7 linked regions of the Macaca fascicularis genome follow. The protein of the gene in region 5 binds, or shares a complex with, the protein of the main gene of each other region. Links are inferred from orthologs where the notes say so. Each region holds a gene or a part of one and is shown on either strand. Other genes may lie near its edges. The genes, in order: PIGH, DPM3, DPM1, PIGP, DPM2, PIGY and PIGA.

Evidence for each region.
Region 1: DPM2 (region 5) and PIGH share a complex: the UniProt entries of both Homo sapiens proteins name them as parts of the glycosylphosphatidylinositol-N-acetylglucosaminyltransferase (GPI-GnT) complex. The link is inferred for Macaca fascicularis from reciprocal best matches to the Homo sapiens genes DPM2 and PIGH.
Region 2: DPM2 (region 5) and DPM3 share a complex: the UniProt entries of both Homo sapiens proteins name them as parts of the dolichol-phosphate mannose (DPM) synthase complex. The link is inferred for Macaca fascicularis from reciprocal best matches to the Homo sapiens genes DPM2 and DPM3.
Region 3: DPM2 (region 5) and DPM1 share a complex: the UniProt entries of both Homo sapiens proteins name them as parts of the dolichol-phosphate mannose (DPM) synthase complex. The link is inferred for Macaca fascicularis from reciprocal best matches to the Homo sapiens genes DPM2 and DPM1.
Region 4: DPM2 (region 5) and PIGP share a complex: the UniProt entries of both Homo sapiens proteins name them as parts of the glycosylphosphatidylinositol-N-acetylglucosaminyltransferase (GPI-GnT) complex. The link is inferred for Macaca fascicularis from reciprocal best matches to the Homo sapiens genes DPM2 and PIGP.
Region 6: DPM2 (region 5) and PIGY share a complex: the UniProt entries of both Homo sapiens proteins name them as parts of the glycosylphosphatidylinositol-N-acetylglucosaminyltransferase (GPI-GnT) complex. The link is inferred for Macaca fascicularis from reciprocal best matches to the Homo sapiens genes DPM2 and PIGY.
Region 7: DPM2 (region 5) and PIGA share a complex: the UniProt entries of both Homo sapiens proteins name them as parts of the glycosylphosphatidylinositol-N-acetylglucosaminyltransferase (GPI-GnT) complex. The link is inferred for Macaca fascicularis from reciprocal best matches to the Homo sapiens genes DPM2 and PIGA.

Annotation. Positions count from the first base shown.
Region 1 is NC_088381.1:135,494,109-135,497,608, forward strand, and holds part of PIGH (phosphatidylinositol N-acetylglucosaminyltransferase subunit H), read right to left. Parts: coding exon 3,421-3,500; intron 2,311-3,420; coding exon 2,227-2,310; intron 1-2,226. UniProt on the Homo sapiens protein: Part of the glycosylphosphatidylinositol-N-acetylglucosaminyltransferase (GPI-GnT) complex that catalyzes the transfer of N-acetylglucosamine from UDP-N-acetylglucosamine to phosphatidylinositol and participates in the first step of GPI biosynthesis.
Region 2 is NC_088375.1:106,001,690-106,004,135, forward strand, and holds DPM3 (dolichol-phosphate mannosyltransferase subunit 3), read left to right. Parts: upstream 1-1,303; 5' UTR 1,304-1,345; intron 1,346-1,567; 5' UTR 1,568-1,598; coding exon 1,599-1,877; 3' UTR 1,878-1,946; downstream 1,947-2,446. UniProt on the Homo sapiens protein: Stabilizer subunit of the dolichol-phosphate mannose (DPM) synthase complex; tethers catalytic subunit DPM1 to the endoplasmic reticulum.
Region 3 is NC_088384.1:107,047,382-107,050,881, forward strand, and holds part of DPM1 (dolichol-phosphate mannosyltransferase subunit 1), read right to left. Parts: intron 2,926-3,500; coding exon 2,892-2,925; intron 1,195-2,891; coding exon 1,118-1,194; intron 1,033-1,117; coding exon 1,007-1,032; intron 1-1,006. UniProt on the Homo sapiens protein: Transfers mannose from GDP-mannose to dolichol monophosphate to form dolichol phosphate mannose (Dol-P-Man) which is the mannosyl donor in pathways leading to N-glycosylation, glycosyl phosphatidylinositol membrane anchoring, and O-mannosylation of proteins; catalytic subunit of the dolichol-phosphate mannose (DPM) synthase complex.
Region 4 is NC_088377.1:9,901,947-9,906,181, reverse strand, and holds the start of PIGP (phosphatidylinositol N-acetylglucosaminyltransferase subunit P), read right to left. Parts: upstream 2,801-4,235; 5' UTR 2,537-2,800; coding exon 2,463-2,536; intron 2,153-2,462; coding exon 2,049-2,152; intron 1-2,048. UniProt on the Homo sapiens protein: Part of the glycosylphosphatidylinositol-N-acetylglucosaminyltransferase (GPI-GnT) complex that catalyzes the transfer of N-acetylglucosamine from UDP-N-acetylglucosamine to phosphatidylinositol and participates in the first step of GPI biosynthesis.
Region 5 is NC_088389.1:16,050,622-16,054,828, reverse strand, and holds the start of DPM2 (dolichol phosphate-mannose biosynthesis regulatory protein), read right to left. Parts: upstream 2,801-4,207; 5' UTR 2,761-2,800; coding exon 2,758-2,760; intron 2,144-2,757; coding exon 2,054-2,143; intron 1,279-2,053; coding exon 1,176-1,278; intron 409-1,175; coding exon 350-408; 3' UTR 1-349. UniProt on the Homo sapiens protein: Regulates the biosynthesis of dolichol phosphate-mannose. Regulatory subunit of the dolichol-phosphate mannose (DPM) synthase complex; essential for the ER localization and stable expression of DPM1.
Region 6 is NC_088379.1:94,070,560-94,073,313, forward strand, and holds PIGY (phosphatidylinositol N-acetylglucosaminyltransferase subunit Y), read right to left. Parts: upstream 1,401-2,754; 5' UTR 1,306-1,400; coding exon 1,090-1,305; 3' UTR 501-1,089; downstream 1-500. Other genes in the region: PYURF (protein preY, mitochondrial), read right to left, coding at 1,401-1,542. UniProt on the Homo sapiens protein: Part of the glycosylphosphatidylinositol-N-acetylglucosaminyltransferase (GPI-GnT) complex that catalyzes the transfer of N-acetylglucosamine from UDP-N-acetylglucosamine to phosphatidylinositol and participates in the first step of GPI biosynthesis.
Region 7 is NC_088395.1:15,124,015-15,127,153, forward strand, and holds the end of PIGA (phosphatidylinositol N-acetylglucosaminyltransferase subunit A), read right to left. Parts: intron 2,805-3,139; coding exon 2,538-2,804; 3' UTR 501-2,537; downstream 1-500. UniProt on the Homo sapiens protein: Catalytic subunit of the glycosylphosphatidylinositol-N-acetylglucosaminyltransferase (GPI-GnT) complex that catalyzes the transfer of N-acetylglucosamine from UDP-N-acetylglucosamine to phosphatidylinositol and participates in the first step of GPI biosynthesis.

The sequences.
Region 1 (3,500 bases), on a different chromosome or scaffold from region 5:
TGGGTTCAAATGATTCTTGTGTCTCAGCCTCCCGAGTAGCTGGGACTACAGGCACGAACCACCATGCCCAGCTAATTTTTGTATTTTTAGTAGAGACAGGGTTTCACCATGTTGGCCAGGCTGCTCTTAAACTCCTGGCCTTAAGTGATCCGCCCACCTTGGCCTCCCAAAGTGCTGGGATTATAGGCTTGAGCCATGGTACTGGGCCCACATGCAACTTCAATCTCTCACCCACATCAAGGGGTATAAATGGCACAGCAGTGAGCTCAGGGAGTTAAGTTTAGGCCTCAGCACACCTTGCTGGGAAGAGTCCCAGCTAGGCTCACAGCCCACCTTGTGAATTGTGTGAAGTGGGAGATCAAATGATAGCTTTTTCATCTGTCTAAGTTTCATGAACTCCATCTCTAAGAGTAAGCAAAGAGGAAAAACAAAATGGACCCTCAAGAAATGTCACACGTTATAAAATAGCCCTCAAAGACAAGAAGGGCAGTTTAATATGTAAATATTGAAAAATGTTTTGTACAATGAAATGTAATAACCAAAATTAAAAGAAAAACCACAGAATGGGAAAAATATATGTGAAAGTATATTTAATAAAAGTATACTACCTAAAATATATAAAGATTGTTAAAAATATATAAAAACAGGTACAAATACATAATATTCAGATTCTTCTTGACTAATAGAGAAGATAGGTAGTTTAAAATAAGAGGAAATACTGATAGGTAATACAAGGAAATATGAAAAGCCTATCATTTAAAGAGATACAAATTTACCTATTTAAAATGCCTTTACCTACATATTAAGCTAAAAAAGCTAAATCCACTATTAGCCAGGATGGTAGAAAAAGAAGTACAAAAGCCCCAAAGTATGGTAATGTTGTCCAATCTCTGGAGCCCCATCTTAAACACTAGAAGTCTATAAAACTATTCATAAGCTTTAATAAAATAATTTTTAATTATAATGCAAAATAATATTTTAACTTAGCTATCTTAAATCCTTTGTGAAAAAGGTCAGTGAGGCAGGGTTAACTATATACATAAATACGTGCATAAATACCTACCTCTAAAATAATTTACTTCGTAATTTATTATGTTTGTATAATTTATTATGTTTGTATAATTTTTGTTTTGTTTTTTGAGATGGATCTCTGTCACCCAGGCTGAGTACAGTGGCATGATCACAGCTCACTGCAGCCTTGACCTCCTCGGCTCAAGCAATCCTCCCACCTCAGCTTCCTGAGTAGCTGGGACCACAGATGTGTGCCACCACGCTCAGCTAATTTTGGTATTTTTTGTAGAGATGGGGGTTTTACCATGTTGCCCAGGCTGGTCTCGAACTCCTGAGCTCAAGCGATCTGCTGCCTCAGCCTCCCAAAGTGTTGGGATTACAGGCGTGAGCCACTGCACCAGCTGATAAGTGGTTTTTTTTTTTGTAAGAGCAAAACAAAAAACTCCAGGCAGGATTTTAAAAGGTGGCAAGAGTGGCTAAATAAACTGACATTTCAATATATTATACAATATAGTTATTTAAAATAATAAATATAATGGCCTTTGTAGGACACATACATATTATTTACAAAGCAAGACACACAATAGCATACAATGTGAGATCAATGACCTCTATCTAAAAAACTGTACATTAGTAGACTGACAGAGTCAAAGTAGATGAATAGTGATTTGTAGGCAGAGGTTGCTATATATTTGATTGTGCTCTTTAAAATGTGCATGAGGCCAGGTGTGCTGGCTCATGCTTGTAATCCCTACACTTTGGGAGGCTGAGGCAGGAGAATTGCTTGAACTCAGGAGTTCAAGATCAGCCTAGGCAATATGGCAAGACCTCATCTCTACTAAAAAGAAAAAAAAAAGTTAGCCAGGTGTGGTGGTGCACACCTGTAGTCCCAAGTACTCAGGAGACTGAGGCAGGAGGATTTCTTGAGCCTAGGAGGTGGGGGCTGCAATGAGTGACGATCACACCACTGCAAGCCAGCCTAGGTGACAAAGTGAGACTCTGTCTCATAAAATAAAATAAAATAATAAAATATGCAGGAATAATATTTTTAAGGACTATATTTGCCTCAGAGAGGAACTTCTCAAATAACTGAAATCCTAATTATCACTCAAAACAGCTGTCAGGTGTCTTCCAATACTCTGAAAAAAGGAATTTACATTCCTACAGAAAAGGTTGAGGATTAATTGGACAACGGTAAAAGTGTTCTATGCTCACCTGGAAGACAGGTACTACTTGGGATATCCTATGTGGTTCCACTGGATCCTTCAATAAGATGCAGAGGTAGTAAATCACCTTCTGCTGTAAGAAAATAAATCAAATAGCAAAGTCTAAGTGAAACTCATTTTGCATTCCTTTTTTCTTTTTCTTTTTCTTTTTTTGAGACAGAGTCTCACTCTGTTGCCCAAGCTGGAGTACAGTGGTGCAATCTTGGCTCACTGCAACCTCCACCTCCCGGGTTCAAGCAATTCTCCTGCCTCAGCCTCCCAAGTAGCTGGGATTACAGGTGCTTGCCACCATGCCTGGCTAATTTTTTGTATTTTCAGTAGAGATGGGGTTTCACCATGTTGGCCAGGCTGGTCTGGAACTCCCGACCTCAGGTGATCCACCCGCCTTGGCCTCCCAAAGTGCTGGGATTACAGGCGTGAGCCACTGCGCCTGGCCACATTCTTTTTTTCTAAGGTAAGGCTCAACGCTTTTTCACAAATGGTTAAGTAGTAGAACACTTGATAGCTTTTGAAGTGGGAGAAAAGTATATTCTTGTTCCTTAAATGAAAAAAGACAGGGCCAGGCATAGTGGCTCAAACCTGTAAACTGAACACTTGGGGAGGCCACAGCAGGAGGAGGGCTTGAGCCCAGGAATTCAAGACCAGCTTAGGCAACATAGTGAGACTCCATCTCTACAAAAAATAGAAAAAACGAGCTAAGCATGGTGGTGCATGCCTGTAGTCCCAGCTACTCAGGAGGCTGAGGTGGGAGGATGGCTTGAGCCTGGGAAGTTGGGGCTGCAGTGAGCTGTGATTAAGCCACTACACTCCAGCCTGGGTAACAGACAGGGTCTCACAAAAAAAGAAAAAAGAAAGAAAGAGAAGGAAAAAATGCCAGTGATAATTTTGGAGTTGGTCTTGAAGATAAAGTTGAAATACTAATTCTCTATCCATGAAAACCTGCTGCATCTCTTTAAAAATAAGGAGATTTACCTTTTACATATAAGTCTCACTTTTATGGTTTATAGACATGCCAGCCAAAAAGAAAACTCTAGTACTGTAAGTACTAGAGCAGAGGATCTTCATGTTTAATTCTGTGACATCAAGTACTTTAGGTATTAAGGCTCAGTATAGATCTGGGAACACCCCATGGGCTGGCTACCTCCTCCAGAGAGGACTGTAATACTGCCTTTCAAATACTTACCATGTAGATAGCCTCATTGATGACAATATCCTTGACCTTGCCCATTTCTATGAAGGTAGTGCTTTCTTTGCCTGAAGCAT
Region 2 (2,446 bases), on a different chromosome or scaffold from region 5:
TGGGAATTCTGGGAGATACTTATCAACTTGAAATTTGGGTGGACACAGCCAAACCATATCACCTGTAATGACCATATTTCTTCCTTTTTAATGAATTGCCCCACAGTTCCTCTAGTGTGTTCTCTCTGTTGCAGCAAGTTAATAAACCTGTCAAACTACAGATGTGGTCTTTATAAGACAGGCTTTTATCAATTGTCTTTCCTTTCTTTTATAACTCTTTGTTTCCTCTGAAGTTGATAATTGCCTAACCTTTTCTCTTACTTAGTTCTCTCTCTCTCTTTCTCTTTCTCTGTATAATAAATTCATCCCCAAAAATGTTCGAAAGAATTATACTCCTTCTTTCAGTGCCTTCACCACCTCACGTAATTCTTCCGATCTTTCTTTTCTTTTCTTTTTTTTTTTTTTTTTTTTTTTTTTTTTAACACAGCCTCCTGGAGCCCTTCTTCCTCTGGCTCCAAGTTATATTCGTTGTTGTCCTTGTAAAAATATAACTACCTCTGTTCTAACAATAATCTCAAGCCTTCATGGTTAGTTGTCAATGCAACTGTTTCCCTGACTCCTGCTTTCCCCCTCCATCCAAAGAGGGGTCGAGTCGCGTGATATCTCTGTATCTCCAAAGTCTATCATGGTAATCAGTAAATGTTCTGGCTGGGCGCAGTGGCTCATGCCTGTAATCCCAGTACTTTGGGAGGCTGAGGTGGGCAGATCACTTGAGGTCAGGAGTTTGAGACCAACCTGGCCAACATAGTGAAATACCCGTCTCTACTAAAAATACAAAAATTAGCCGGGCTTGGTGGCATGCGCCTGTAATCCCAGCTGCTTGGGAGACAGAGGTTGCAGTGAGCTGAAATCGCGCCACTGTACTCCAGCATGGGCGACAGAGCGAGACTTCGTCTCAAAAAAAAAAAAAAAGTTCTGTCCAGCCTAGACAGTCTAGAGAGACCCTGTCAAGAACGGAAAGAAAGAAAAGAAAGACATGTTCGAATGAATGAACCAGTGAATGAAGGAATGGATTTCAGCTCTGGAGAATTGAGTTTAAGGGGAACAGTATTATATTCCCATCTTGTTGCAACATTTAAGGATGTCCTCAAGATCCAAGCCAGCCTGAAGCGGAGCCCAAGGTGGGGAAACAGCGCCCAGGCCTCTCCAGACCCAGCCTGCTCCGGGTTTGCGGAGCGCAGTCCGCTGGACCCCGCCTAGACTGAGGCGGTGGCCAAGAGTACGCCAAGGACCGCCATGTGAACTACAACTCCCAGAAGGCCGCGCGGAAGCGGAGCGTGAGCCAGGGAGGACTTCCGGACATGAATATCCGGGCCGCGCGGGGAATGGGAGACGTGGGGTAGAGGTAAGTGTAGGTTGAAAGCTGAACGGAGAGGGCGAGAGATGGGGAGTGGGTCTCAAATATAGAGGGGGGTAGCAAGGTGGAAGGAACCCTTCCACCTTTTGTGGGCACTCAAGTTCGGACCGCTGGGATCGGCGATTCCCCTCTGGCTACGGTTGGTTTAAATGCTCTCTCCCTGGGCGGGCTTCGGTTGAGTTTGGTCCTCTTTTCCTTTCTGCTCCTCAGGGGAGCATTGTTTTCTTTTCTCGCAGTGACCATGACGAAATTAGCGCAGTGGCTTTGGGGACTGGCGATCCTGGGCTCCACCTGGGCGGCCCTGACCACGGGAGCCATGGGCCTGGAGCTGCCCTTGTCCTGCCAGGAAGTCCTGTGGCCACTGCCCGCCTACTTGCTGGTGTCCGCCGGCTGCTATGCCCTGGCCACTGTGGGCTATCGTGTGGCCACTTTTCATGACTGCGAGGACGCCGCACGCGAGCTGCAGAGCCAGATACAGGAGGCCCGAGCCGACTTAGCCCGCAGGGGGCTGCGCTTCTGACAGCCTGACCCCATTCTTGTCCGGACAGCCCTTCCTCCCATGCCCCATTAAAGAGCCAGTATTTTCTAACTTCGTTTAGTTTGAGTATGGAAAATGGGTGTTGGGGATTCAGTGTACTAACTGTCGAGAAGTGAATGTGAAAGAACCACCTTCCTGAGGCCATCTCAGCCTGTATTTTGCATCATGCTGGTATTCCCATTTTTGCTCCCAAGGAGGCAAAGACGCCTTCTCAAGATCTCTCAGGATGGAAATGACATTTCACTTTCTTGGTCCTTTCAGCCCTATAGGAAGTACTTCTTATTTTTTTTTTTTCTGAGACAGAGTCTCACTCTGTCGCCCAGGCTGGAGTGCAGTGGGGCGATCTCCGCTCACTGCAAGCTCCGCCTCCCGGGTTCACGCCATTCTCCTGGCTCAGCCTCCTGAGTAGCTGGGACTACAGGCGCCTGCCACCACGCCTGGCTAATTTTTTGTATTTTTAGCAGAGACGGGGTTTCACCGTGTTAGCCAGGATGGTCTTGATCTTCTGACCTCGTGATCCGCCCACCTCAGCCTCCCAAAGTGCTGCGATT
Region 3 (3,500 bases), on a different chromosome or scaffold from region 5:
TAGCTTAAACTCAGAACAGCTTCCAAAATCTTATTCACAGAGGTTTTGTGATCTTTGGGCTAAGAATATAATTATATTGCCTACAAATAAATTATGTATACTTTACTAATATTTAACTAAATTCTTGCGTTACTGTATTAACATTTCCATGTTTAATGATAGCTAGCATGCCTATCTTAATGAATTTACTGGAAATGATTCAGCATTTCACTATTTGGTGTGATATTTGTATTAGGACTGGGTTATTTTTATTATGCTTAAGAGGTTTCCTTCTATTCTTAAAGTTTTAACTAGAAAATGGTAGTAAATAATATCTCTTTTAGCATCTACAGAGTTAACCACACTACTCATGAATGAATTATGAGTGATTACCAATAACGAGCCATTCTGGCATTCCTGGAATAAACTCTTTTGTTCATGGTGTTTTACTCTAATAACTCAAGGCTTAATTCCATTTATCAAAGAAGCCGTCTTCCACCTTTTTCTGTGGTCTGAAAGAATTCAGATTAACAAAGGAACTACCTATTGATTTGCTCCTCAGGACTCCTAAAGTACATCATTTAGTCTCAAATGTGTGTTGTATGTGTGTGTGTCTACTATCTATACAGATAAATATTTTAGAGACAAGGTCTCACTCTGTCTCAGGGTCACCAAGACTAGAATGCAGAGGCATGATGATAGCTCACTGCAGCCTTCAAGTCCTGGGCTCATGTGATCCTCCCACCTGAGCCTCCTGAGTAGCTGGACTACAGGCGCATGCCATTGTGCCTGGCTAATTTTTGTTATTTTTTTTGTAGAGATAAGGACTTGTTTTGTTGCCCAGGCTGGTCTCAAACTCCTGACTTCAAGCAACCCTCTTGCCTTGACCTCCCAAGCTTTGTTTATATTTTTGATAGAAAAAAAAAGTACGTATATTTTTGATTAATAAAAAATGAAAATAAGCCCAAAACCAGTAAGATAAACGGTTCCAGTCATATTTCTTTCAAATATTAGAAATAGTACCTACCTAATAAATTCAGGAATAAATTTTGGCTGAAATTTGGAAAGAATAAACAGTAAAGTCAGTAAAATAGGCTAAGATTATCATAAATAGCTAATAAAGAAACATACCACTTACATGGTGTGAGAGATCAGCATCCATAATAATTATGTAGTTTCCTGTGGCATGTTTCATTCCATGAATATATGCAGTTCCTAAAAATGAAAGTATATCCATTCAAGAAAGTCAACAGAAATCTTAACATATACATTTGAACGTGGAGGAAACTGTTTAGCACCTGAAGAGCATACATTAGTCCTCTAAAAGTGGTATTCATAAATCGGTATTTTTCACCTTAAGTACACAGGTTCATGTATATTACATATATAATCAAGAAGGTAGCTGGCCACACACCCCCATTCAGATGTCAATTTAATAGAAGAGATCATACCTCTATTTCAGTTGAGCAAATAGTTTATAAGTTCAAAAGTCTGAGATTATGTAGCAATTATCACATTCTCATGCTTTAAAAACCCATCTGGTGTTTCCTTAGCATCCCCCTAAGAGACTGATGAAGTCAGACCCTTCCTTAGAGCTCCACATTTACAAACCAGCTTCCTACTTAACATCTCCTTGTGGGTATTTCAGAAATCTCAAAGATAACATCGCAAAATCATCTTCCAATTCTCTACCTCTCTCTTACAGGCCACCTCTCCAGGAAATGGCACCAACTATCCAATTGCTCCATCCACAGGTCTAGAGATGACTCTTGATTTCCTACTTTTAACCATAACTTCTAAACTATAATTAAGTCCTATTGATTCACCACCCAAAACATTTCAATTCCCTTTTTCTTGTCGATCGTCACTTAGTTCCAGGTGCTACCTTCTGATGCTTAGATGACTACCTAACAAGCCTCCCTGCTTCTGCTCTTCCTAGCTCTAAGTCCACTTCCACAAAAGCCACACACTGTCTTTTACACTGTATGCCTGGTACGCTAGACCCCTGCTCTGGTATTTGAGGCCAAAGGCCTTGCTGACAATTACTTAGCCAGCTCCATGCCTCAAAGTCCCACAGGGACTTGGCAGGCTAGGGTAACTGGTCAGGAGCAGGACTTGGGGATTCCTGCATTCTCTAGTCCAGACACCTCACAGGTGTTTTATAAGCAAGGCTGAACTCTTCTAACTTATTTTGTTAAGAAGTGAGTATCAGCTGGGTGTGGTGGCTCATGCCTGTAATCCTACCACTTTGGGAGGCTGAGATGGGTGGTCACTTGAGGTCAGGGAGTTCAAGACCAGCCTAACCAACATGGTGAAACCTCATCTCTACTAAAAATACAAAAAATTGGCCAGGTGCGGTGGCTCACGTGTGTAATCCCAGCACTTTAGGAGGCTGAGGCAGGTGGATCACCTGAGGTCGGGAGTTTAAGACCAGCCTGACCAACATGGAGAAACCCTCACCTCTGACTGGGAATTTCCCACAGTTCTAGCTCCTGCCAGGCAGCCCCCACCCCATCATTCTAGCTCCCTCTGGGCAGCCCAGGTTCTTAGGCTCTTAAAACATCTCTTCCTGCTGTTGCTCCATCCCTAGGGGTGGCAGTGACCTCCAGCTGTTACTAATCTTAGTAGCCTCACTGCTCCATTTGGTTTCTCAGGAACTCCTTCACCAGTGTAACCAGCGACTCAGTATTAAATTCCCTACACCGAAAGACTTACAGTGGTTTCTATCGTCCTGAGTGGGCCTTGACTTATACAGGCAACCCAAGTTATACCATTTAAATGTCATTAAGATCATTAAAAACCATCACAGTAAGTTACTGTATTTTGGCCCTATTCCAAACTGGGCAAATACACACTGGATCATGTCACCAGGCAAGTAGCAGGCATGAGGGGTTAGAGGTTCCGCGACTTACCTAGTCCCAACTTTTTCTCCCGTGGTTTTAGAAGCTGTAAAATAAGAAACAGCATTTTACACAAAGAAACAGAAATGTTATCATGTTAAATTTTATTTTATTCAAAAGTGCATACTCATTTTAATAGAAATATAGTTGCACTTGTTAGAACTTAAAGCAGAGTATGGTTAATGTTTTTTTGCCAAAAGGAAAAAAAAAAAAGCATTTGGTAACAAACCAAATAGTTTAACATAGCTTCTGAGGCAAAGCAACATTCTTTAACCCCGACCCTACAATCAAAATTAAATTTTTTTTTTCTGTTGTCACTCACTCTATTTTAAATAACATGTCCTTACATCTATACTTGAATTTCCTTTTAAACCTATTGATTCCTTCCTAGAAAAATGTAGGACTTACCTCATTATTTCACACCTTCTTGGGAAATCTGATGTTTGTTCTCTCAATTCCCTTTGGGTTTTGAATACTAATATCACTCTTCCTCTATTAACTTATCTTGACCTTATGCTTGGATGACCTCATCTCCTCTACTGGTCCAAGGACATGTCATATTCCTAATTAAATTCTTTCTCTTTTTATTTGTCATTTAGTCCTTCTTAATATTTTTGCTTA
Region 4 (4,235 bases), on a different chromosome or scaffold from region 5:
GTGAACCCGAGAGGCGGAGCTTGCAGTGAGCCGAGATCGCGCCACTGCACCTCCAGCCTAGGCGGCAGAGCGAGACTCCGTCTCAAAAAAAAAAAAAAAAAAAAAAAAAAAAAAAAAAGACACAGCAGCACATTAAAAGGCCCTCCTTCCACTCCGTATCCTCCTTCCCCTTGCTTAATTTCTCCCCATGGTACTTTATCACCTGATACTGTATACGTTTTTCTTATTTAATTTGTCCATTGACTATCTCCCCCCAGCGTTAGAATAAAAACTCTATGAAAGCAGGGCATTTTTGGCTGTTTTGGTCCTTCCTAGCCTGTAACAGTGCCTGGCACATGGTAAGCACCAATAAATACTTGAATTACTTTTTGGTTGTGTGTATCATGGAATTTAATTTTTTTTTTTTTTTTGAGACAGAGTTTCGCTCTTGTTGCCCAGGCTGGAGTGCAATGGTGCGATCACCGCAACCTCCCCCTCCCAGGTTCAAGCGATTCTCCTGCCTCAGCCTCCCAGAGTAGCTGGGATTACAGGCATGCGCCACCATGCCCTGCTAATTTTGTATTTTTAGTAGAGACGGGGTTTTTCCATGTTGGTCAGGCTGGTCTCAAACTCCCGACCTCAGGTGATATGCCTGCCTCGGCCACCCAAAGTGCTGGGATTACAGGCGTGAGCCACTGCGCTGGCCAGAATTTAAGTCTTAAAGTGATTGCTTTTATTTATTCATATAGCTTCTAATCCTTGATACATTCTTTGAACAAGGATTTACGAAAGTTGCTAACAATAACATCAGTAGCTAACACTTATTAAGTCCTTAACCGTTCCTAGGCATTATTTTACATGCTTTACATAAATTACCCCGGTTAATCCTCACAACAGTCAGAAGAGGCAGCAGAGTGAAGTCAGTCGGTGTATTTGGGTTCAAATTTAGAGGCCTATCATTTAGTAGCTTTGCAATCTTGAGTAAGTTACTGAAACCACAGGATGCTCATCTTTAAAGGACAATAATAACAGAACCTACCCCATAGAACTGTTTCATGTGTCATAAGCATTTAATAACCATCATTATCACTAACCTTTTACAGATAAGGAACCTGAGATTCAAAAAATTTGCTGAGCGTCCCAGCTCACATGGGTAATCTGTGGAGGAGTCAGAATTTGAACTCAGTTGTAACTTCTTCACTTCATTTCAGTTGTAACAGCCTGGCCATTACATTCATCTGCAAGCTGTACTGATGGTGCAGGCTGATATATTTTAGTTAGGGTTCAGAAGTACTACCACTCCTCCACTTTCCTAGTTTCCAAAGAGTTGCAAAACGCTGGATCAGGGGCACTCAATTTTCTCCCTCTTGTGTGCCTCAAAATTCCCAAATCCTTTTGGGGAGAGACTTGGGGCTTGCTGTGTGACTGAGCATACTAGTGTCTCAGTGAGCGTCAGTCTCCGTATCTGTAAAACGGAACGTTATGGGGATTAAGGGAGATCCAGGACGAAAAGGACACACCTTTCAACCTGACTTCTCTGGGCTACTTCTTTTGTTCCCCAGATCCCCGCAGGGCACACTGGTGCCATACCAAGCTCCTCGGGTCCAAACCCTCTCACGCCCTCATTCACGGCCTTTCCACGTCGTCCCTCTCTCCTACTCTTTTCTAACCAGCATCAGTGCCAGGGGGAAAGGCCTCTGTAAAAGCCTTGATTTTCCAGTCTGGTTTCAATGTCTCTCCACCGTGCTCCCCTGACACTGAGCACTAACTGTAGATTTACTCATCTGTCTCCTCCACAAGACCACGACCTCCTTAAGGGCAGGGACCAGGCTTTATTCACTTTGCCATCGCGTCTGGCGCTGTATAAATATTTGTAGAGACTAAAACCTCCTAGGCTAGTGCTGGCACACAGAACACTCAACAAACACGAGTTCCCTTCAGATTCTCTTAAAAAGAGACATAGGGAGAAAGAATCAACAGTTCATGTGTACACAGTCTAACCAATGGATTCTTCCCTTGTCACTGAACGCCAGAAAAAGCCCCTGGCCATCCATCAGGAAAGTACTTACTGAAGCCAAACTGGGAGCTTAAGAAAAGAACAAAGCCATAAATCGCTCTTTCTGGCAATGGCGACGGTGAATTTTCCACCATTTTTCCTGGGGCTTTAGACAACCTGTGGAAAAGGAACACAATCAGCCATCAGCGAGGTGCTCCCCGGCACCATTGGTCCATTCTCGCCCCATCGCTCCGCCGCGGGCACGGCCCCCGCCGCACAGAACCGCCTCCCGCGCCCCCGTCCGCAACCCGCGCCCCCGCCTCGCGCGCACACAGGCACCCAGGTTGGCGCGCGCCCCGCAACAGAAGGGGTGGCGGGGGATAGGGCAGCGAGAGGGGCTCGGGGGGACAGAGGCGCGCTCCAGCTCTGCCAGCGTGGTCTCCCTGTGGGAGGGGAGGGCAGGGAACAAGGCTCGCGCGGCGCCCACCAGCACGCGGGCCTGCTGGGTCGCGGCGCCCAGGCCCCGGGCCCTGCCCACTCGTGGAGATTTATATTTCTCATTCGAGGCAGGGTATGGGGGGGCCCTCGACCTCGGGTCCTTCGTACGCCCACCCGGGCCCCTCTCGACACCTCGGCCACCTCAGCGCTGAGTTCTCTGCGCAAGGGCCGACCAGGCGCCGCAGTGGGGGAGAAAAGAGGAAAACCTGAGGGAAAGGCCTAGGCGCAACGACACCCCCCACCTTGGCGCAGGCGCACGAGGACCCTCCCTGGGTGGGAGCCGGGCGGCACGAGGCCGGCGTGATCCCGCGAATCGCCACGGCGAAGGAGGGGGCGGTGGGGTGCGACTGCGCAGGCGCGCTGCCCGCCCACGTGATGCACCTCCCTTCAGCGCAGCCGCCCACTCCCTCCCGCCGTCGGCTGACGTGGAGGGCCGGAGGTGCCGGCTGCGGCGGCAGCAGCGGCGGAGGCTGCTGCCTGCGCCGAGGCTCGCGGGCGGCGGGCCCGGGTGAGTGCACACCCGGCGCGCGGCCGGGCTCCCGGATGTGTCACCTTGTCCCGCTGCAGCCGAGATGCCGGGGGAGTGGGGCATTCCACACCCCCTCCGTGGGTGTGTGGTGAGTGTGGGTGTGTGCGCGTCACCCCGCGTTCCTCGCTGCGGTGCCCGCTGTGTGTCTGCATGGGTTGGGGCCCCGCGCAATGAGGGGGTGTGGCCGCTATTGCCTGCCCCAGTGGGTTTGTCCCCTTGGTCTGGTGCCCTTTTGCGAGCGAGGCCCTGGGATGCCGGAGCGAGGGTGGGAGTAGTCGCTTTGTGCGCATTCCCCCGCTGCCCGTGCCTCGGCCGGTGCGTGGCTGACACCCCCTGCTGGGTGGAGGGGCCCGCGCTCGCGTGTCGCCTCGTGGTCCCCTTTGTGTCGGTGTCCGCGCTCCCTGGCGGCTGCGGGGGCGCTCTCGGCCTCGCGGGTGGCCCCCCCTTTGTGTCACTGCCCATGTCTGTGGGCTGCGCGTTCCCCAGCGCGCGTGGCCGCGCCTCCTGTAATCGCGACCCCCGCCTAGAGCCTTGCTCGCGCGAGTGTGCGTCCTCGCGTGTCTCCGAGTGTCCCCAGAGTGTCTGCGCATGGGTTCTGTCGAGTGCGTGATCTCATGTGTGCGGGTTTAGTTTTGTCGAGTGGGTATCTCTTGTGTGCGGGTTTCGTTGGTGCGTGTTCGTGAACGTTCGTGCACATCCCTTGCTGTGTGTGCGTGTGTTCACGACTCTGTTGTCACCTGTTTTCGTGTGAACTGGCAGTCCAGTCCAGGGCCTGTCCCTACGGAACGGACCCAGGAGGGGGGTAACCTCGCCGCTCCCCTCGCCCCCGCGCCTCTTTCTGAGCATCTTCCCCCACAGACGCTAAAGGGAAGGGGGGTGGACAGGATCGAGTCTGGCGAGTTGCTCCGCAGTGTTGACGCTGCCAGTTGCTCCGCAGTGTTGACGCTGCCAGTGTGGCTTCTTCAGCCAGCCTGTTCAGGGCACAGAATAGAGGGATCAAAGATAAAAAATGGAGCCGAGACAGGTGAATTTGGGCTGGTACCAGTTCGCCGTGCGTTTTCAAACAGAGGCGCCCTGGACGTCAGAACCCCCTCAGTTGCAGAGACCTTTCAAAATATATGCACACGCCTGCTGGGCGATGCTGTCCTTAGCCGTTCTTGATGATATTTAATGGTTTGTAGAGTATTTTATGGCATTCACCTAAATCGCTTTCCATTTTGCCCAACATCCTGG
Region 5 (4,207 bases):
TCCAATGTCAGCATGTGACAGGAGGGGAAGTGAGGCAACATGGCAAAACCCGGGGGAAAAGGTGGCAGGGAGTCTGAGAGTGAGGTTGGGAGACCAGCATCTTTTAGGCCCTGAGCAAGAAGGGGGTGACTGGAGTCTTCCAGGTATTCCTCCCTCCTAGCTTCTGGAAGTGAGAGTCAGGGAGGGGGCTCCGGTCAGGCAGGGGTAAGCTCCATGTCATGGGGACTCTGCAGGACAGGCAGGCTGGAGGCGCCACTGTGCCTGGACAGGTTCTGCAGGCTCCCCTACTTGGTCCCTGTGCTGGAGGGGAAGCAGAGAAGGGGCTGGCAGCCTCATCCCCGCGGGACCTTCACTGAGCCTTCTTGGTCACCCTCTCGCTCTTCAGCATCACGTAGGTGATGAACAGTCCTGGAATACATAGACCAGAAAGGCCACATAAGATCTAAGCTCAGGGCTGCTGGGAGGCCAGGGCACGACACAGCAGAGCCACCCACACGCAGGGCTGTGAACCTACCCAACCACTCTCCAGGGAACCTGCTTATCTCCCTAGTCATTCGTCAAGCCATAGGTCCACTCACATTCATTCAACAAACACCAGCTGAGTGCCTGCCTCAGGCAAAGATGCTGCATTTAGTGTTTCAGATTCCAAGGGGAACAAGATCCACCCATCTATAGATCACCCAGTCAACCACTTGTCCACCTATATACCTACCCACCTCCTATACCTCACCCACCCACCCATCCATCCACCCATCATCCAGGCACCCGGCTATTGACTGACTCATCCAAATGACTTTCTGAGCACAACCTCAGTGCCACAGCCCATTCTAGATGCACAGTAATGATGGAGACACAGTCCCCGCCCCTAGGAAGCCATGAGAGAGAGAGGTGCAGGAATTAGAAGCCAGGGTGACAAGAGGGTGACTGAGGTGTGAGCAGAGCAATGATGGGGTTGGGGGCAGGAAAGAGGGGGACAGGTCATTGGAGTCCAAAAAGCCTGGGGCACCAGGAAACCCAGAGGTTACTGACTGGCAACCTCGAAGGATGAACAGGAAAACCCCAGGGGTGAGTTCGGGGCAAGGAGCTTCCAGCAGTGCCAAAGTGTGGAAGCATGTTCAGAGGTGGGGTCCCCCCGAAACCCTGCCCGGGGTCAAGGGGAGGAAGTGATGACTTACCCACAAACAGGAGCAGTAGGAGGCCTGCAGCCAGTGGGATGGCGACAGCATAGGCTCGGGGCAGGAAATACTTGTGGATGACATGCTCACTGTCGATGAATGGCTGGCATCGAGGGCAGAGCTCTGGTGAGCCTTGCTCGCCTTGCCCAGCCCCCAAGCCCAAACACACCACCTCTAGCATCTAAGGGGCTGGCCCATTCAGAGCACTGGGCCTGCATTTGCTTTTCTTTAAGATTATGGCATTTGGGTGTCATGGTTTGTTTCCTTCCTTAATTTCTTATTGGTATTTACCGGGCACTTGCTTTGGTGCCTGCCATAGGTTGGTGGTGGGGACAAGAGAACAGGGGACAAGAGACCAGCCCTAAGGCACTCACAGGCTAGCAAATAGTACATGAGGAATCCTCGACTGACTCCCAACCTGGGCCTCCAGGGATTCTTCACTAATATTTTTTCCCTAAAGGATAGCAAGTTCTGCACTTCCAAACACACTGCACTTCTTAAGCAATGACCAACACGTTTTCCCACAAGAAAAAAATATCCTAAAGGCCTTCACAGATATCACTGGCGCTCGCCATGCCTGAGTCAGCAGGCTAACCCAGAAGGAACATAACTCCCCCAAAAGTCAAAGCAAGCTGGAAACAGAGTTTTAAGTGTAGCGGCTAAGGATGCAATCTTGGGCCAGATCCTTCTCCCCGAGCCTCAGCTATCTCATCTAAAAAATGCGGCACCACTGGCATCTTCCTCATAGCGTTGTTTTGAAGATTTCAAGAGATAAGGCAGGCAATGAAGCCAGCGCCGTGCCTAGAACCTACATAGAAGTTGCTTTGGCGGTGCCAGGGCTACGGGAAGGTGAGCAGCGGACGGGGAGAATGACATACCAAGAGAATCACCCAGGCGGTGTAGTAGGTGAAGATGATCAGGCTAACGGCGACGAGGCCGAGTCCCACCACCTGGTCTGTCCCCGTGGCCTGGAGAAAAGGGAGGTCTCAGCTGACGAAGTGACTCTCTATTTTGGCGTACTAATGGAGGCGGGGCGTCGCGGCCCAATCACGGTCTAAGCTTCCCATTCAACAGATGCTAGAGGAGGCCGGGCGCGGTGGCTCAAGCCTGTAATCCCAGCACTTTGGGAGGCCGAGACGGGCGGATCACGACGTCAGGAGATCGAGACCATCCCGGCTAACAGGGTGAAACCCCGTCTCTACTAAAAAATACAAAAAGCTAGCCGGGCGAGGTGGCGGGCGCCTGTAGTCCCAGCTACTCGGGAGGCTGAGGCAGGAGAATGGCGGGAACCCGGGAGGCGGAGCTTGCAGTGAGCTGAGATCCCGCCACTGCACTCCAGCCTGGGCGACAGAGCGAGACTCCGTCTCAAAAAAAAAAAAAAAAAAAAAAAAAAAAAGATGCTAGAGGGCTGACTAGGGATCAGTTTCTAGGCTGGGAGAGAATGCCAGGCCTCCGCGTTATCGTCCGTACAATAGGGGGGGCGGGAGAGCAATCCCCGTTCCAGTGCCCATGCCCCAGCTTCTGAGTACCCGAGACCCCACCCCCAGACGCCCCTATCTCCGGCACTCTGTCCCAATCTCACCATTTCCCCGCGCGTTCAGTCACCGGAGCCGCAAGCCACATCCGGTTCCGGATTCACGCTTTTCCGGCTTTGGGCTGCGGAGCGCGCCGGGAGTCGTAGTCCCCAGGCCGGCTCAGGCCCACGTCGTCGGAGACTAGCAGGAACCGCCTCCTCCCCTTTGCATATCGAGGAAGTGTAGTTCTCAAGAGCATTGTGGGGCCGGTTGCTGCCCGAATCTCCCTAGGGAATGGGACCGAGTTGGGGACCCAGACTCCCTGGCCTTCATGGCCACAGTCCTGTCGCCGCCCCACCAAAAGCCAATCTCTAAGTATCCCAAAGTCCTGGGGTCAGAGTGAGATGGGAGTGCGGGATCGGAAGTTCCATTTTTCAGATGGGAAAAGCGAGGCTCAGAGAAAGGTAGATCCCAATCCGAGTCAGTGGTGAAGCCGACACGGGAACTGGGGGGCCGTAACTAGTCTGTAGGTGGGAGAGGCGCAGAGAATGTTCACTTTTCAGCCTAGGATGGGCGGGGGAGGGTCTGTCCCCAGCCCGCATGAATGGGGAGGATTTGGATTGGTGGAGAGGGGGCGCCCTCCTCACCATCGCCTGGCCTCCTGGGCCACCCTCTGGATGTCCCCTCCTTTCCTTCACCGGCTGCCTCTCGCAGCAGCCCAGACATGTTTCGGACCAGAACCCACGCACAGGCCCCTCCCCGATCTTGGAGGATCCTTCCTCTGAGAACAAAGGGATGTTGGGCCAGATCATCTTCCACGCTTCTTCAGCTCCGAGATAGGAACGCGGGCCCCCACCACTCACCGGCCGGCTGCTCCCCATCCATCCAGCCTCACTGGGACGCCACGTTCCCCAGGGAAGCCAGCTGGGAAGGGTTTTTTTTCTTTCTTAGAAACGGAGTTCTATGTTACCCAGGCTGGTGTCGAACTCCTGGGCTCAAGCGATCCTCCCAACTCGGCCTCCAAAAGTTTACAGGCGTGAGCCACCGTGCCCAGCCTCCTGTGCCTTTTAATTCACTGACACACTTGTTCATCCGGCCCTGTCAGCTCCCTGAGGGTAGGATCTGAGATTGCTGCTGTATCCCTGGCACCCCGTGGAGGCTTGGCCCAAAGTAAGAGGTTTTTTTTGTTTTTTTGTTTTTCCCCCAGAGATGGGAGTCTCACTGTCGGCCAGGCTGGAGTGCAGTGGCGTGTTCTCAGCTCACTGCAACCTCCGCCTCCTGGGTTCAAGTGATTCTCTTGCCTCAGCCTCCCGAGTAGCTGGGACTATAGGCGCGTGCCAACACGTCCAGCTAATTTTTGTGTTTTTAGTAGAGATGGGTTTTCACCGTGTTGGCTAGGTTGGTATCAAACTCCTGACCTCAGGTGATCCGCCCACCTCAGCCTCCAAAAGTGCTTGGGTTACAGGTGTGAGCATCGCGCTCGGCCCAAAGTAAGAGTTTTGAACCAGCCAGCTTTAA
Region 6 (2,754 bases), on a different chromosome or scaffold from region 5:
TGTCATTTATACTACAGTATACCCTGAATTAATTCAAAAGAAAACACATCTAACATGTCTTAATTTTTTGATGCAGAAGAATCACTGTTTCAGGTTTCTGTTAACATAAGATTCCAATAAAAATAAAGTTTGTATTCGGTTCTTTGGTTTCTCTGGGTTAACTACTGAAACACACTATACTTCAGAAGTATTATACTATGCTCGATTAGTCTTACTGAAAGTTCTGGAAAATCAGAGGCTATTAATGTGTCGATGCTCATGCCCTTAGTGGTGTTATTCAGCGTCCTGGGAAAATAAACTGAAATGTGGCTCAAAATATGGCTCTAAGCTCAACAGGGCACAATCCACTACTTGCAAGTCTTCCCACCCCCTACTTTCCTAGGAAATGATTCTATTTTAGGTATTAAGTACCTCTCTCAACACAGCTATATTTAGTGCAGTTTTACAACTTCCCTTAGTATCAATAACACTTCTGTGACCAAACAAATAAACAAAACAAATGATTACAAACTGGTTTATTTTTTATGGGAAAGTGTCAACATCTTTATTGCTAATATAAGCATTTAATGTCAAAGAAATGAAGGTAATTTTACAAACTCAATTTTTGTAAGTACATGAAATTTCTATTTCATTATATGGTTTTGTATCACATTCATTCAAATGCATTTCTCTCCCTTACAGGGACTATTCCAACATCACTCCTTTGGAATTATTTCAGTCATCCCTAACATGTGACTTTACCAAAGACCTTGAAGCTAAACAAACAAGCAAAACAAAATTTCAATGACTTTTAGATGAATGGAATAAGAAATAGTCATCACATGTCAATTAGGGATGTTTATCTCCAACAAGACACTGTCAAAATGTTTCTTCTGATACAGCAGTTATAAGTCAGAGCCTTCAAAAAACAAGGGCAGAACAAGAGCACAATAAAAGAAGCACCTGCAACTTAAGCCTCCCACAGTCCTAAGCCTGATATGCGCAAAGCAAAGCCTCTTTCCCACAAACTCAATTCCATCCATTTGAGCTTTCAGAGATAGATGCCCAAGAACTACCATTAATGTATACAGCATATTGACTCTAGTTGCATCAATTATGCCTGAAGAGTTTAATACCCATCCAAGTCCAAAGGTGGAAGAATACATACACTGGTATGGTAATAGGCAAGAGCAGGCTGTAAAAGCAAAGGCTGGCTGTGCTAGTGCAGCCCTGTGGGAAGTTTTCTTCCACAGAGGCTGAGTAGAACAGTCCTGTTAAAGAAACCAGTGGAATAAGAACAGTCAATGTAGGAAGAGACAGAAACATTCTTCTCTTCCACTTATTACCTGCCACTGTGTTTTAAAAGGTATATGGTACTAAGAAAAGTTGGCTGTTGCGTTTTATGTTTTTTTAATTATGAACTAGCGCTGCTCCACTTCTTCCTGCTTCTTACTTTGATGCGTCATCCTAGCTGCCTGTGGTATCATATTAGGAATCCCATCAATGATTGGATAAGCTATTCCCAACTCTTCATTAATCAATTCATTTGTTGATGCTTCATATCTGGGGTGGAAAAAAAAAAGAACAAAATGAGTTGTGGAAAAATAAAATAATTGAAGAGCCTGATTTTCAACAAATACCATCATTTATCCAATTCTTGGTATGGAGTTAATCCCAGAATAGTCTTCTTTCATTAAAAGCAACGATAGCCAATTCAACCTTTTATCTTAGAAAAATTCTCTTAGAATCTATAATTATTCCCATTTTAGTCAGTTTCTCTCATATTCTCTTTTTCACCTTATTCACAAGTTATTCTTTAATTTTTTTTTCATACTAGTCAGAAAAGATCCCCCTCTCTTATCCAAATATTCCTTCATTACTTTGGTCAACCCCCAAATCATCTCTGTTAATTTACTACTGGAATAAACACTAGAGAAAAATCAACTTCTTCGTTTTAGAATAAATGCTAAGCAGAAAAACTTAACTAATCCATTAGAAGGAAATCACTGGAAAAGGTGAGAGGGCAGAAATGAGGAAACTTTGGAAAGCAGTAAGTCTGCCGTGAGCTAGTTATAAACGCAAATCAAATAATTTCAAGGTTTGAGAAAACTGAATATGTTTATTATGGGAAAAAAGAAATATGAAAAATTGCTAGCAATCTACCACTCAAAGATAACCACTGACAACGTTTTGGTGTTTCGTTTATGCGATTTGTAATACTAGCGTTAGTGTTGTCAATATTCCATTTTTGGGAGCTTGGAAACTGTAGAGCTGTCTTCCCAAAAACTAGGTTAAAGAGGCTTCTAAGAAATCTGCTAGGCCACAACTAAGAGCCACCAGGCAGCATACACAGCTGAATTGCTTAAGATTGTCAGGCACCAGTTGTACAAGACACTTTCACAAGAATCTGGAGGGTAAAATACTTTTCATTATCTTGGCTTAAAAACCGGATGGCTTTGGACTTGTCCTGAATCGCAGTAATTCAAGAACCTGGTGGTACGTTAGAAATCATTTAGGGACCATTTAAGAACACAAATAAGCTGGGCGTGGCGGCGGCGCCTGTCTCCCGACTCCTGAGGAGGCTGAGGTGGGAGTTCTAGGCCAGTCTGGGCAACGTAGGGGGGCACCCTGTCTCTTAAAAGGAAAAAAAGAAAATACAAATGTTCAGGTCCCAACCCCCGAGCATTCCAAGTCTGCCCGTCTTGGGGGCTGCAGGGGAATCGGCATTTTTAAAACGGTCCCCGGGTGATTGCAAAGAGCAGCCGGTCGCGAAGC
Region 7 (3,139 bases), on a different chromosome or scaffold from region 5:
AACAAGAGTGAAACTCTGTCTCAAAAATAAATAAATAAATAAATAAATAAATAAATAAATAAATGAAAATACACTAACAATAGCTGATGAGCTGAAAAAAAAAAGAAAAAAGAAAATCACAAGTCTCATAATGTTTTAAGAAAGTTTACAAATTTGTGTTGGGCAAAGTAGAAAGCATAATTATGTAGCTCACATACGCAATACAGTTTGTAGATCTTTTCCTTTGTCTCACATGATAACGCTAGGGCAGTGAAAAACAAGGGCTTATTTGGGTAAGGAAACAAAGGCACAATTGAACTTGCTATTCCATGAGTAAGAGAGAGAAGATATTCTAGAAACAAAAAATGACAGAGTAATTCATCGCCCAAAGGGTATTTCTTGTTTTACTAATAGACCAAGCAACACATCCAAATTGCATTGGAAAAGAATGTGTCGGGGGCAGGGATAGCCTGTTCCACTAGTAAATAACAGTCTGGTCATAAAATAAGACAAACAGAAAATTAGCAAAATGTCATTCTGGTCTTTATTTTTGGACATGTAGCATGTTTTAACAAATCAGTTTTTCATAGGCAACCTTTTGAAACATCAAAAGAAATACAATATAGTTTTCACAAATTCCTCATCACTGTAAATTCACTTTAAAATCAACGTAAGTAGCAGGGTAGAGCAATGTGTTTCCACATACCGACCAGTGCAACACTGACAGTTACAATTAAGGTATCCAGGAAGGCTGAAAATCAAGATTTACGTAAAACAAATTTACTTCCATTTGTTAAAAGTAGTAATTTGCAAATTACATGTCTTACAAGCAAAGGCAACTAACTTTAGATCTTATTTCCATCTCAAATAAATGACAATTTAAGAATTAAATGACAATTTTAAAAAATCAAGCAAAAATATAAGGAAAAAATGGTGGCGTGCGTCTAAAACCTGTTGAATAGAATAATAGCCAAATATTATAGTTTCTCACTTTACAATGAATATTGGCACTGTTTATTTCATGTTTATATGTGAGTTTTTATGCATAAAAATCCCAGTAAGACTGAATGCTTTAGATCAGTCCATTTTTCTCCAACAAAAGTGCCCCTAACTTCTAGATTTCAAAAACTGCACTCTTGCTTTTGCATTTTAGTACAAACAAAACACAAATATATTTCTTTTATATCAGTGCAACCAGGTAATAGGCATGTTATTTTTTAAAAAGTAACAAATTTTGTGAATGTTGTCATTTTTAAAAATCCTATACAGTATCACAACACTGTCAGAATCTATGTAGTGCACCCACAAGGGCCTCACTGTTTTGAATTCACAGTCCTTTTCTCACAAAAACCTTAAGAGTTCAAAGAATTGATAATACACACCATGTGAATAATTTGGGGTTAAAAAACCCATGGCTCTGGGCAACAACAATTACAGTTAATACGATCCAACAACAAAGACTGTTGCTAAAATTTTCAACTCGGTTTGCTATAAATAAAACATTCTGAAGTAAAGCTTTTTGCATACTGACAATACTTATCAGACATCAGCGAGGCCACAGTGAAGGGGAGTGACTTACATTAAAAGGACAGGGTAGCAGCTGGTTTTGGGATGGCACACCTCATACATTCCGCTCAGAAAACACGAAGGCATTTATAGAAAACTCAAATATGCACTGAAAAATATGGAGGGTTTCTCTGCACTATCAACAGTGATATCGGTCCCCAGTATTGAAAAAGCAAAAAATATCTTCATAAACACAACTGAAGATGAAGGCTCTACCTAGGAGAATGCATACAACAGGTACTAGTAGTGTGTTGGTGATTTTTTTCCCGGCATTAACTGGCAAGAGCATTTTTGGCATGTTGGATATTTATCTCATATCAACAATGATTATGATGAAGTAAGCCATTTGAATGGTAAACAGAGAGTGAATGCACCCCTGGTCCTTAATGGCGGGAAACATCTAGTTCAACATTCTGCACAGAGCAGGGGTTCAAAATGTGCTGGTTACTAATGGACTATCTTACTCAAGGAACCTGTTAATTATATGTAACACCTACTGAGTGAACCTAATAAATGTTTAAAGATGTGATTTAGATTTCTAATAAACGTATATGAACATGATATAAAACAGTTCATATAATTGTTGTAGTTCCCTAAAGAAAACTTGTAAACATCTGGTGAGTGTCTAATGGTGTAACATTAAAAACTGGCCAAAAAATGCCCAGAAAACGTTTGGCCCTTCAGCACCCAAAGCTCTCAAAATATAATGTTAAAACATCTCTGCTACAGGGATTTCAGTAGTCTGAAAAATTTCATACCTGAGTGGCTTAAATGTTCTCTCCTAAATTTTAAATAAGTGCAAGAAGTTTCTACACTCAGGAATTGCATAACTTTTTAATCTTTCCTCAACAGAAAATATTGAATGATATAGAGGTAGCATAACTTACTAAATTAACTCTAAAAAAAACAAAACCCCCCAAAAGCAAGGTTATTTTCCATAGTCTTAATAGAACTATTAGAAATGTTGAAAATCTTACAATCTAGGCTTTCTTCTACCTGGTTTTAGATATCTCACTATTCTCACCCTCTCTTTTACTGTGAGAATAGTTATTAGTCCAGGCACCCTGTGGCCCAGTGGCATCTACTGCAACATCAATGATGGAATCTGGAGTCATCCATCTCAAGAAAACGAGGAAGAGGAAGCTGAAAACTGCCAACAAAGCAAAGATGTAGCCTGTTACTGGGCCGCAGTGAGAAATAAGTCTGTCCAGTCGTTTGTCCATTGGCAACACAGCTTCCATTGATACCCGGTCATATACCTAGAGGGAAAGAAGGCAAGTGTGAGCACTTTCACCCATCACCCCATCACCTGTCCCATGATAAACAATGACCGGATCCTGCAGGAACATTTTATAAACAAACGCAAACAAAAGTTGCTTGTGTTTTGTTGCTGTCATAGTAATGATATCCTTAATGAACTTAATCACAATAATCATTGCCATTTGATTCAAAACTTACTGGGTACTTATTCTGGGCAAGACACCAGGCTAGAGGCTGTGTGATACAAAGAATAAGCCACAGTACCTCTCCCCTAGGGAGTCACCATCAATTTTAGCCAACTACTAGAATTCCAAAGTCCCGCAAAGTCTGAACA